Pelodiscus sinensis: one gene and its partners. The protein of the gene in region 1 purifies or fractionates together with the protein of each later gene. This does not show direct contact. Links are inferred from orthologs where the notes say so. Each region holds a gene or a part of one and is shown on either strand. Other genes may lie near its edges.

Evidence for each region. Proteins that work in one complex are often made in the same cells at the same time.
Region 2: the proteins of AMFR (region 1) and ERLIN1 purify together in Homo sapiens (affinity purification with mass spectrometry; 3 studies listed by BioGRID and IntAct, with this or other methods). This does not show direct contact. The link is inferred for Pelodiscus sinensis from reciprocal best matches to the Homo sapiens genes AMFR and ERLIN1.
Region 3: the proteins of AMFR (region 1) and UBAC2 purify together in Homo sapiens (affinity purification with western blotting; 4 studies listed by BioGRID and IntAct, with this or other methods). This does not show direct contact. The link is inferred for Pelodiscus sinensis from reciprocal best matches to the Homo sapiens genes AMFR and UBAC2.

What each region holds. Positions count from the first base shown.
Region 1 is NC_134722.1:44,145,172-44,148,916, forward strand, and holds the start of AMFR (E3 ubiquitin-protein ligase AMFR), read left to right. Parts: upstream 1-938; 5' UTR 939-1,079; coding exon 1,080-1,310; intron 1,311-3,745. UniProt on the Homo sapiens protein: E3 ubiquitin-protein ligase that mediates the polyubiquitination of lysine and cysteine residues on target proteins, such as CD3D, CYP3A4, CFTR, INSIG1, SOAT2/ACAT2 and APOB for proteasomal degradation.
Region 2 is NC_134718.1:7,018,478-7,022,222, reverse strand, and holds the start of ERLIN1 (erlin-1), read left to right. Parts: upstream 1-1,398; 5' UTR 1,399-1,531; intron 1,532-1,605; exon of another isoform or gene 1,606-1,702; intron 1,703-3,745. UniProt on the Homo sapiens protein: Component of the ERLIN1/ERLIN2 complex which mediates the endoplasmic reticulum-associated degradation (ERAD) of inositol 1,4,5-trisphosphate receptors (IP3Rs).
Region 3 is NC_134711.1:249,005,521-249,009,265, reverse strand, and holds the start of UBAC2 (ubiquitin-associated domain-containing protein 2), read left to right. Parts: upstream 1-1,123; 5' UTR 1,124-1,226; coding exon 1,227-1,257; intron 1,258-3,745. UniProt on the Homo sapiens protein: Restricts trafficking of FAF2 from the endoplasmic reticulum to lipid droplets.

The sequences.
Region 1 (3,745 bases):
GTGGATGGGGTGTGGTTCCAGGTGTTCATGCTGCAGCAAAAGGGATTTAAATTTGGGCTTGCGTGAGGTGGGTGGCTGGTCACCTGTCTGCAGGCAGCAGAGTGAAAACCGCTGACGGGAACAGCTGATTGGGAATTGTGGGACACTTACTGGAGGCTAGAATAAGGAAAAACGAACCCACGACCTTGAGATGTCTACATTGAATATTTATTGAAAACACAGCAAGGAGAAAAGAAAAGTCCTTTGTGGAACTGGAAGTTTTTTGTTGAAGAAAACAGCTGGCTTTTTGTGTCGAAACTTGTGTTGTAGCATACATACCCACACGCTTTTGTTGACAAACGACATTTTAACACCACAAAATTTGCCAACGTAGGCAAGCCCTACCGCTCACATCCTCATTGTTTCCTTCAAGTTCCCTGGGGAAAAACACAGGGATGGCCCCCGTCAAGGCTGTTCAATCATTACTTACATCTCAGCCCTCTAATCCCAGTGGTTTGTATTAATCAAAGTTGGCAATTGGCATAAAACACCGCATCAGGGGGGCTTGTTTCCTGGCTTCACTGCCCCGCGAGTTGCGTGTAGGGCAGGCTTTCGCTTGCAGCTTGTTTTGTGGGGGACAAGGGGGCCGCGCGGGTTCGCTGGGGGCCCGCAGTCCCGGACTAAGGGGTTGGGAATCTAGTCCCATGTGCGGGGTCTTCTGCGGAGCGGCTTGTTTACTGTGACAAAGCCGGTGGGAAAGCTGCCCCCCCCCGGGATTTACTTCGGTCTGCGGCTCCCACACTCCCGCGTAGCGCACAAGGCGCGTGTGGAGAGGGGCAGAGGCGATTTACTCCACTGGCCCGGCCCCTCGGCCGCGCAGCTCCGCAGGCCCCGCCGGCCCGTCCCCTCAGCCGCCCGGCCCGAGCCCCGCGCGCGACGCTGAGCGAGCGGCGGCCAGGCCCGGGGGAGGCGCTCGGCCGGGCCGGCAGGGCGGAAGGAGGGGCCCGCCGCGGCAGTGCGCTCGGCAGCCGGCGGCCGCGGGGAGCGTTAGGCCGCGGAGAGGAGGCGCGGGGCGGACTGGGCCGGGCCCCGAGGCCGCGATGCCGCTGCTGTTCCTGGAGCGCTTCCCCTGGCCCAGCCTCCGCACCTACACGGGGCTGAGCGCGCTGGCGCTGCTGGGCAGCGTCCTCACCGCCTACCGCGCCCTGAGCCAGGGCCCCGCCGGGCAGCCGGAGCCGCCGCCCGCCGCGGAGAGCGCGCCTGGAGCCGGGCCCGGGCCTGGGCCTCTAGACATCGCCTACTACCTGCTGTCGGACAGCCTCTGCGTCTGGGTGAGCGGCGGGCCGGGGGGCAGCAACAGGGGGGTGGGGGGCCCTTCGATGTGCAAGGGGGGAGGAGTATAGGGGGAGAGGGGCCCTGGGGTGGGCAGTAGGGGGGGGAGGAGTATAGGGGGAGAGGGGCCCTGGGGTGGGCAGTAGGGGGGAGAGGAGTAGGGAGGAGAGGGGCCCTGGGGTGGGCAGTGGGGGTGAGGGGGTCCTTGGATGTGCAAGGGGGGAGGAGTATAGGGGGAGAGGGGCCCTGGGGTGGGCAGTAGGGGGGGGGAGGAGTATAGAGGGAGAGGGGCCCTGGGGTGGGCAGTAGGGGGGAGAGGAGTAGGGAGGAGAGGGGCCCTGGGGTGGGCAGTGGGGGTGAGGGCGCCCTTGGATGTGCAAGGGGGGAGGAGTATAGGGGGAGAGGGGCCCTGGGGTGGGGAGTGGGGGGATAGGAGTGGGGCCCTGGGGTGGGTAGTGAGGCTGGGACAGGACTGGAGGTAAAGGGACCACGGGTCGGGTGAGGGGGCTGTAGGGCAGGTAGCTGGGCTAGTGGTCCTGGAGGGGCTGGGAGTATGTAGCTGAGCTGGGTGAGAGGCTAAGTGTTCAATGAGTGATATTGGGGGGAGAGGGTGACCTATGGATCCAGCTGGTGTGATTTCCCTGATGCCCAGGGACCAGCCAGGCCTACTTCCTTGGGAAGGACCCCTGTTATCCAATGAAGCAAAGCAGCTGATTTGGCTGCCATCTTCCTCTGGGGATAACAGGGTTGCCTGAGAAAATTGTTTTTTTCTCCCACAAACTAACAGACCCTTGTGTAAATAGTACAGACATGGTTCAAGCTCCTCCTGCTGTAGTTCACATAGTGGAGCTGGCCACTGGATTGAATCCGAACTAGGTAGGCAGTAGGGATGTTAAAATGTGTGTAATTAATTGACTCTGGAACTGCTGAAAATTTACATGTTGAGTGGCAGGCAGTTCCCTGGTAGATGAATGTAGCCTATAGCCATCTGAGTAATCAGTAAGCATGAGTTTATCAGTTGCCTGATTAAACAGCTACACTTACATCCCTGATATACAGTGACTGATAGCTGCTAATGTGTGATGAGGCTGGTCATTAGTTTGTCTGAAATGAATTGTGTGGTCTGAGTCTGACTTCCAAGATTTAATTTTAGAGGTTAGACAGAAGTCCGCTATATCTGTTTCTGGCCAGTCTAAGATTTACACCAGAACTTAAACTGTCTGTGCCAGAAGTGATGGGTAAGAAAGTGTAAATTGCATCTTAAGTAAGTGCAAGTTTGCAGTGGGAGATTTTAGTTTAAAGCCAGTGAGGATCCTTTTTTGGGTTGGAGGCCATTGATCCACAGAAAAAAAATCAGTTGGTGGTCACACACCAATAAGAAGGAAAAAAACCCACTTGTTGATGTGGCCACCAACTGAGAAGCAGGAAGAGAAAGCAATAACCATCTCTTTCATTCTTGGAACTGAGGGTGCAGGAGCGGAATGGGAGTGAGGGGTCTTGGCAAGAGATAGGGTGAGGTTCCGAGATCTGAGTGGGAAGAAGAGTGCGAGAGAGGGGTTGGGGGTCCTTACCCGGTGCAGCTCCCATGTGGGCACAGGTGGAGCTGCACCCCGTGCTGCTCCCATTGACTGGGAATCATGGCCAATGAGGACAACGTGTGGAGGATGCAGGCAAGTACTTCCCTGCACTGTCATGCCTCATGCTGGAGAGGAGAAAGAACTAGGGTTGTTAAGTAGCAATTAATTTGCTAGTCATGTAGTCAATGGAATTTCCATCGACTAGTTGATAAGCACTTCTGCGTTCTGCCTTTGAAATGCAGCAGGGGCTCTTGTGCATTTCAAAGCGGAAGCTAGAGTCTGACCCTGTGCGAAGCTGCTGACTCCCAGGTGGGCAGCTGCCCACTCCTTGTTGCTTTTAAGCCTGTGCAGGTTGGGAGCCGGCAGCCCAGTGTGGGCTTGGAAGAAGCCAGGCTGCAGTAGCCCTGCCCATGGCGTGGTGGTCACTCCAGTCCAGCCACTCAATGCCATTTAATCAGTTAACTGGTTAAACTTAACTTTTAAGTGGTTGTCATTTAATGGGATTTTACATATCTAGCATCTACACTACAAAAATTGCTGCCCCAGTTAGAGTTCTGTGTTGCTAGCGTCAGCAGAGTGGACAAACAGTATGTACAGTCTACAGGAATGTAATTCACTTTGTCTTTAGAACTGGTCCCTACAGGTCAGGATTGAGTCACATTGTGAGATGCAGTCTGGAAACCATTTGCTACTGTTCATAGAGCACCTGTTCTCTTGCGGCAGTTTTCTCTGTATGGTGATCAGTTTGGCAGATTTCAGTTTATAAATAAATAAATAAGGAGTTAAAATCACTTGATTATACATTTGAATGTTAAAAGCATACTTTGCTCTTTTGGCTTGGACCCAATTTTTAATTT
Region 2 (3,745 bases), on another chromosome or scaffold:
CCCTTCTGACCATGGAATACGAATTCAGGTTATCCCCTTGGCTGTTTGCTTTTATTGCTGAAAGATCTAAGGATCAGGCAGTTTCAACCCAGAATATTTCTGGGTGGATGTCAGGTTGTATGAAGTTAGGTTAGGAGATGGTCAATTTACAGTTACCCAGAAACAATAGGGACAGAGCCTTGTTTATAGGTTATTCCAACAGCTGATAATTGTAGGGATGCTATTTGTTTGTGAATATACATTCCTCTAATTATTGTGGAGGTGTCATGTGCTCACTTGGTTGGGACTGTATTAAAATACCTATTTAACTAGACTTGCAGTAGTGCCCTCTGCTGTGTAATAGACTCCCTGTGAGACCTTGGTTGGGGCTCCAGTACTGGTAAATCCAGACTTTGACAAGCCCTTTATGGTGTTTACCCATGCCTCTGGTGGCTGGGTGTGATGCTAATGCAGGTGGACAAAAAAAGGAAGAGATGCCCTATTGTGTACTTGAGCAAGAGGTTGCTGCCTTGCAAACAGAACTGTGTACTCATAGTGAAGGAATGCCTGTCTAGGGTGTGGGCTCTTAGAAAACTGCAGCCATATCTATTTGGGTGGCATTTCAAGGTGTACACGGACCACTCTCCCCTGACCAAATGAAAGGGCGAATACCAAGCTGCTGCTATGGAGTCTGCTCCTGCAGAATCATGACACAGAGGTGGTCCATGTTAAGGGGAGTGCTAATGTCATAGCCAATGCTTTATCACAGAGCAGGGGCCCCGAACTTCCCCAGGCCACTGGCTCAGTGCCCCTGCTCCGTTTGGTCTCGAAGGGAGAAGAGATGCGACAAAGTGGGGGACTGTGTTTGCTATGTTATTGTTATCTCTACTACTATGTTATGTTATCTCTATTACTGGGTAGTAACCCAGTGCATGTGCCTTAGTTTCCCTAGGCACTTCACCAGGAGTGAGATGCTGATGGGAATTTCAGTGTCGGTCTCCTGCAGGTACACAATGGATGATGCTTTCTGTACCCTGAGCCTCGGTGGGGGTGTCCTGTAAGCAGGACTAAGGCTGCAGAAGGGCTGGAGCAGGCTTTGGGGTGTTTTAAGTGGGGGGGCAGAGACGGGGCTCTGTTCTGCCTGCTGGCTGGCGGTCAGTGCTGGCTGCAGATGGGGGTTTGGGGCCCCCCCCACACACTGACACCACCCAGTGCCCCCCCCATTCAGCCTGGTTCCCCCTTGTGACACTGCACAATGCTACTCTGGCCCTGAACCCTGCCCAGCGCCGAGCCCCGCCCCCATACGTCACACACACCCCTCTGCTGAGCCCCGCCCCGCTACACCGCCCGTCCCCGGGTCGGATTCGGCCAGGGAGCGGTGCTGCACGACGCGGTCCGGGACGAGAGGTATTTTGCCCTCGCTGCTTTACCGTCCCAGGGGGCGCTGTGATTCTGTTCGGTGATTGGCTGGGGGAGGCGGAAGTAGCCGGGCGTGGCTGCGCATGCGTGGGAGTGATGTATTCGGTGGCTCGTGAGGGGCGGCGCTGAGCAGGTACTGGGGGCGCAGCGGAGACCTCCCCTTCCCCCTCCCCCTCCCCCTCCTCCTCCCGTCACGCCGGCTGGGGGGGGGCCCTCGCTGCGGCCCGGGGCGCTGCCCTCAGACTCCCCCTCCCCCCCCCCGAGCCGGGGAATGCGGCGGGGCGCGGGCCTGGTGCTCCCACAGGTCTCGTGGCGAGACTCCCGGCTGCGCGCGCGCGTGGGGAGTGTGGGGGGAGGGGCCCGCTTGTTCCGCGCGTGGGGAGTGTGTGTGGGGGGGAGGGGCCCGCTTGTTCCGCGCGTGGGGAAGTGTCTGTGTGTGGGGGTGACGGGAGCCGCAGTCCGTGCTCCTGGCTGCCAAGTCAGCGCTTAGGAAGCTGCAGCGGTGTCTCCTTGGGACACTTGATTTTGGTGGGGAGTCTGGCGGCGGGAGAGTGCCTGCCTGTTACTAGTAGGAGCCTTAATGTCTGCAAGGTGAACGGGAAATGGTCTGTTGGCGCTTGCTGAGAGGCGGTTAGTTATTACACCAGTTTCTTGATATCCTCCTAGATTAGTCGTGGGCTTGGTGGACACAGACCCCTTCTGCCCTGTCCCTTAGTCACGGTGGGTTTGGACTCTCTTACCCAGTGAATAATTCCGATGCTGTTCACACTTCTGAGCGTCCGTCTGCAGGGAGACTTACCCAGAAACTTGCTAACTTGATTCTGCTGCCCTTGGCAATTTCTGAGCAGCAGCTGCAGACGCCTTAATGCTTCTTTGTCTGCAGAAACAGGAAGACAAGACTCTGGATTATACCTGGCTTGTCTTTGCAATCTTGGCCACTAGAAATGTCACTTTTTCAAACCAAGGGAAAGCACAGACTCTGCAGGAATAAACGACTAATTTCTCCCTTGCCTGCCCTACACACTCACAAGTGGGAAGCTTTGGTTCTCAGCCATTTCTTATAGGGGCCCTTGGATCTCATATCTCTTTCCTGATTTGTACTAAGCTAGTCATGACTGTAGCCTTTAGTTGGGAAAGAGTGACTAGCTGGACACAGATTGTTCTAGGAAGTGTGTAGCTTGGTCCAGGTGAAGGATGTTTAATCACCTGGGCTGAATAAGGGACATGGAGAAATCTGCTCTGCACTTGGGCAACTGTGGGCACCAAAGGGAAAGTTTATTTTCTTATCCTGCTAGAATCTACGTGCTGGAAAACTTAGTTTTGGTTAGGGACTCTTACTACATTTAAAAGGCAGAACTGCAATTCTGCTGCACCTCTGCCTCCCCTCCCCGCCTCTCACACCAGCTGCTGCCTCTTCCCCCTCCCCTGATAGAGGCAGCAAGGGGGGTGAAAATGCGAGTAATCGACAACTCTCTTACATCTCTAGTTTGGGTTCCGTGAAATGACTATTTAGAAGTACATTGCCTTGCTGGCCTCATTCAGATTGCACGTTTAGACTCTTGCCTATTCCTTCCTGCCAAGAGCTTGCGCTGTATTTCCTGATCAAAGTCCAGTTTTTTTTCCAAAGTAAACAAGGCCAAATCTTAGCCAGTTTGTGCCTGTCTGAGAGAAGGGTAGATTGTGCCTACTATATTTTTTACAATGGCAAAAAAAGAACAGTCCCATAACACAAAAGCTCAAGGGAGTTTTCTCTAATACAGGCAGTCCCCGACTTACGTCGGATCCGCACTTACGAACGGGGCTTTCTCGCCCTGGAGGTCGAGGTGGCGGATTGCTACCTGCGAGCTCCGGGGCGAGAAAGCCCTGTTCATAAGCTGCTCCGGTGCCCCTGGTCTGCTGGAGACCGTCTCCAGCAGACCAGGGGCACCGGGCGGGTTCCCCGCGCTTCTGAGGCTTTGTCAGCCAACGGTCTGTCCCTTAAGACCGGCTGAAGTTCTTTTAAATTGTGCCTGGTTCTGTTACAGCAACTTAAGGAGTCAGGTTAAAACTTAAACAGTTACAGGTTTATTAAAGAAACTTATAAATCATATGGTTGCAATGGCTATTGTTCTATTTCTTAACTACTAGCAAAATATAGATCTTAAAAATGGTTACAAAGAAGATAAAGATAGAAAAATAGAAATAATGGTACCAAGTAACAGCTTACTCTTTCTATGTGTACACTTAAGACAGAGGACCACATCCAGGTACAATTTTTACCCCCTTCTGTGCCTCTCAACTCCAGCATGTCAGGCCAGGGCCGGTCCCTCAATTCCTAGGAAAGATGAAAATACGAGGTGGGCGTCCC
Region 3 (3,745 bases), on another chromosome or scaffold:
CTGTCCTCGGGCACCCAGCAGCCCCAAAAGGCTGGGGACCACTGATATAGGCAAACTAGGCAGTCGCCTCAGGCACCAAGTTAAATGGGGTGCCAAATGGTGGCGCAATATCATTGAAGGGTTTGGAGGTGGGGGTGCTGATTGCATGGTTTGCCTAAGGTGCCAGGTGCTGGCAGCTAGTCTAGGGCTGCCCGTTTCCATCCAAACTCTTGAAGTGATTGTTTGGTGAAAGAAAAGTTTCTTTTGACTTGCTCACTTTGTAGCTTCTAGAACTGAAAGGTGGGAAGAGAGCCCAGAACTTAACTTACAGCTCAAGCCTAGAAATCTGCGCTGTAATTAACTGCACGTTTTTATTTGCAGCCCTGGCAAATAAAACTTACATTTGAGCTTTCGATAATTATAGTACATAGAATGACCAATAGAAAAGTTTCCTAGAAGCCATCCAGTTACAAAAACCTCTTTATGTTAAAGAATTACGTAGGTCTATTCTGACATTAGTATTTCCACAACCACTTGGCAACTTCATTCACAGCAAGGACAACTGCATTTTGTAGTGTGTTTAGCAAACAACTTCATCAGAGTGTTTGTGTCCCTTAGGGAAGTAACAGATTTGGCTCAGTACATCAGCTTCTACCAACAACAAAAAAAGATTTCTACTTAGGTCTACATTATCATGTTTGTCCTCATTTTTCAAAGCCAATTGGGAAACATTTTTTTTCCTGGCTTAAAATACTATGAAAAGGGTGTCAAGGCTGATAGGTCCAAGATTTGACTTGTATGTTGATTATAACGGGGAGCCTGGACACAGACCAGAACTCTGCGAGGGGGGAGCTGTGTGAGTCTTTTACCTTTCAAAACGAGGAGCGGTGCGGCGCTTTAGTCACTTTATGAAGCCCGGGTACAATGCTGTGGTCTAACACACTCACTGCAGCCCAGCAGGGCTGTGCGCGCCCGGGGGCGGGGGAGGCAGCGAGGAACCTCCCCCCAGAAGCCGGGCGCCGTGTCCGCCCGGGCAGGGGCGTTTCGGCAGCGAAGGGCGCTGCCTCGGGCGGCCTGCAGGGCGGCGGCGCCGCCGGTAGGGGGCGCCGGGGCCTCGCCGAAGTCCTGTTTGGCCCATCCCGGCCGCCTTACAGCTCGTCCCTGGGCCCCGCCGAGGCTCCTGGGGCTGCTCCGGGGGCTTCTCGGGAGACTCCCGGGCGGCGACACCCCCCGCACCCTCGGGGACCATGTTCCCCGGCACCGGCTCCAGCGGGCTGTGTAAGTATCCGGAGCGCCCGGCCAGAGGGGCGGGGCCTGGCCAGTGTCCCCCCCCCGCCGGGGCCCCGAGACACCCTCGCGCCGCAGGTCTTGTGCGCGCGCTGCCCTGCGCTCTGGAGCCGCGCTTCGCTGCCCCCCCCCCCGCAAACCGCTTCCCCCGCCCTCAGGTGCTGCACGTTGTCCGCCCCCCCCCCCCCCGAAGCGCTTTGTGTGTTGCCGGCTCCACCGCGGCAGCCCCGGTCACCAGCTCCCGCCTCGTGGTGTTGTCGCCCTGAAACGCTGGGTGAGCCCCGGCGCAGCCTGGGTCTGTCCAAGTCCGGTGTAACGTCGAAAGCCTTCAGCGGTGTAAAGGGGTCTCTGAGCTTTAAGAAAAATCCTGCTGCTCTTTGCGAAGAAAGTCACTTGCTGTTCTTCAAAGTTAAAACATTAGAGGGGGCAGGTCTCTCAAGAGGAGGAATAAGAGGGTTTCTCTCCCCCCCCCCCCCGATATTTGGCCCTGTGTAGACGGGCCAAATATCGGAAAAGCTTCTTCTGGGGGGAAAAAAAACCGGAAGAAGATATGCAAATTCGAGCCGAAAATGAACATCATCTTTCGGAAGCCACAGGCTAGACGTGCCCTCAGGTTTACTCTCCCTTTGACAGCATTTTATACAGTTGGTTCCATAGTTTCATCCTGTGAAATACCAGCTCCTTCCCGTCTTGTAACTGAGTGTACATGGGGTCAGGAGTTCACCAATAAAGAGTCTGTTGGCCTACCTAGGCAAAATCCCTTGTTCTATGTGTGGGTCTTTCATGTAATAAAGAAGAGAAACATATTTTTGAAAATAAGAAAATGTTATTTAAAATGGTGTAATTGGCAGAGTAGTCTAAGGGCAAATGTAATCTTTGTAAGTGACAACTTTTAAAAAGTAAGTAGATGTCAGTGATAAAGATACAAAGTGGAGAAGGTCATATATTTTATTGGACCATTTTCTGTTGGAAAGAGAGAGAGAGAAACTTTAAAACTTACATGGAGCTTTTCTTGCAAGCTTGTCTCTTTCACCACCACAAGCTGGTTCAAGAAAATATGCTACCTTAGCCTCCTTGTCTTTTAATAGTCTGGCACCAAAACAGCTCCAATACCACATCAAGTTGATACATTATTTTAAACAAATTTCCATAGACCTAAAAAACAATTTCAGAGCTGATATTCATTTTAAAAAAACCCCAAAACCAACCCCCCCGCCCCGCGAACTACCCTTAACTGTATTTAAAAATGTCAGTGAAGAGTTCAGTTAGTTGTCACAGTGTGAATTATGATATTATGCTGGTTGTAAACCAGGACAAATTATGGTCAGTACTGTGTCAGGTAACTGGTTTCTTTACAATCCTGTTAAACCTTCCTCAAATTTGGTAGTGAAGATAGGCCCTTTGTGAGAGTATTCCACTTGATTTGAAGTATGACACATATGCTCAGTAAATGGGCACTACGGGCTATGTGGCAGTTTCCCCCCCCCTGCTGATTCTATTAGCAAACAAATCTTTGCCAGAAACTGTGGGAGCCTTGTCTACTTTAGGGTTATTGCTAGAGCCCTACCAAATCGTGGAAAATGCATGATGGACTGTGAAATCTGGTGTCCTTCCTTAAAATCTGGCCTTTTGTGTGCTTTTACTCTCTATTGTTGAATATGAAGTTGCGAGTCACAGATAGAAGGGAGACAAAAAAAGCTTTCAGCTTTCCTCTGTGTGCGCGCGCACACACGCACACACACACACACATATGCATACAAAGAAGGTGTGCATATGCACACAAACGTTTTATGTATTAGGGATGTGAACGAGTAGTTGAGTAGATGATTAACCAATGAACTTAGGCTTATTGGTTAATCTTCTCGACTACTTGCATTTCCCTCCCCACCCCTGCTGTTTCTGTATCAGAGGCAGCAAGGGAGGGGGAAGTAGGAGCTGGTGCTGGGGGAGTCATCATAAAATCTGGTTCCCCAGCACCGGCTTTGCGATGACGCCTGCCCCTCTCCCGCACCACTTCCTCTAATAGAGGTAGCTGCATGGGGGGAAGCCTGGGGAAGGGTGGCAGGGAGGCTGCCACAAAGCAGCCTTTGCCTGCAGTGGATAGAGGCTGCTTCGTGGCAACAGCCTCTGTCCCCGGTGGGCCCAGGCTCACTGCAGACAGAAGCTTGCACAGGGGGTACAAGGTATGGGGCCGAGGCAGCCTCCCCCAGCCCCTTCCCCCCCAACATCCTCTCTCTGCAGGAAGCTTGTACCTCCTAAGGACAATGGTTGATGTCATCCTATGCTGCTGCCTCTGCATCAGAGGCCGCAATGCGGGGTGGCAGACAGCCAGTCTGCGAGGGGAGCTGGTTTTTAAATTGGTTCCCCTTGTGGACTGGTCCCATCTGGCATCCTGCACTACTGCCTCTCATACTGGTTGCTGGCCTGCCCCCCCCCCCCCCGCCCAGGGACTACTATTATATAGTTAACTAACCACTGA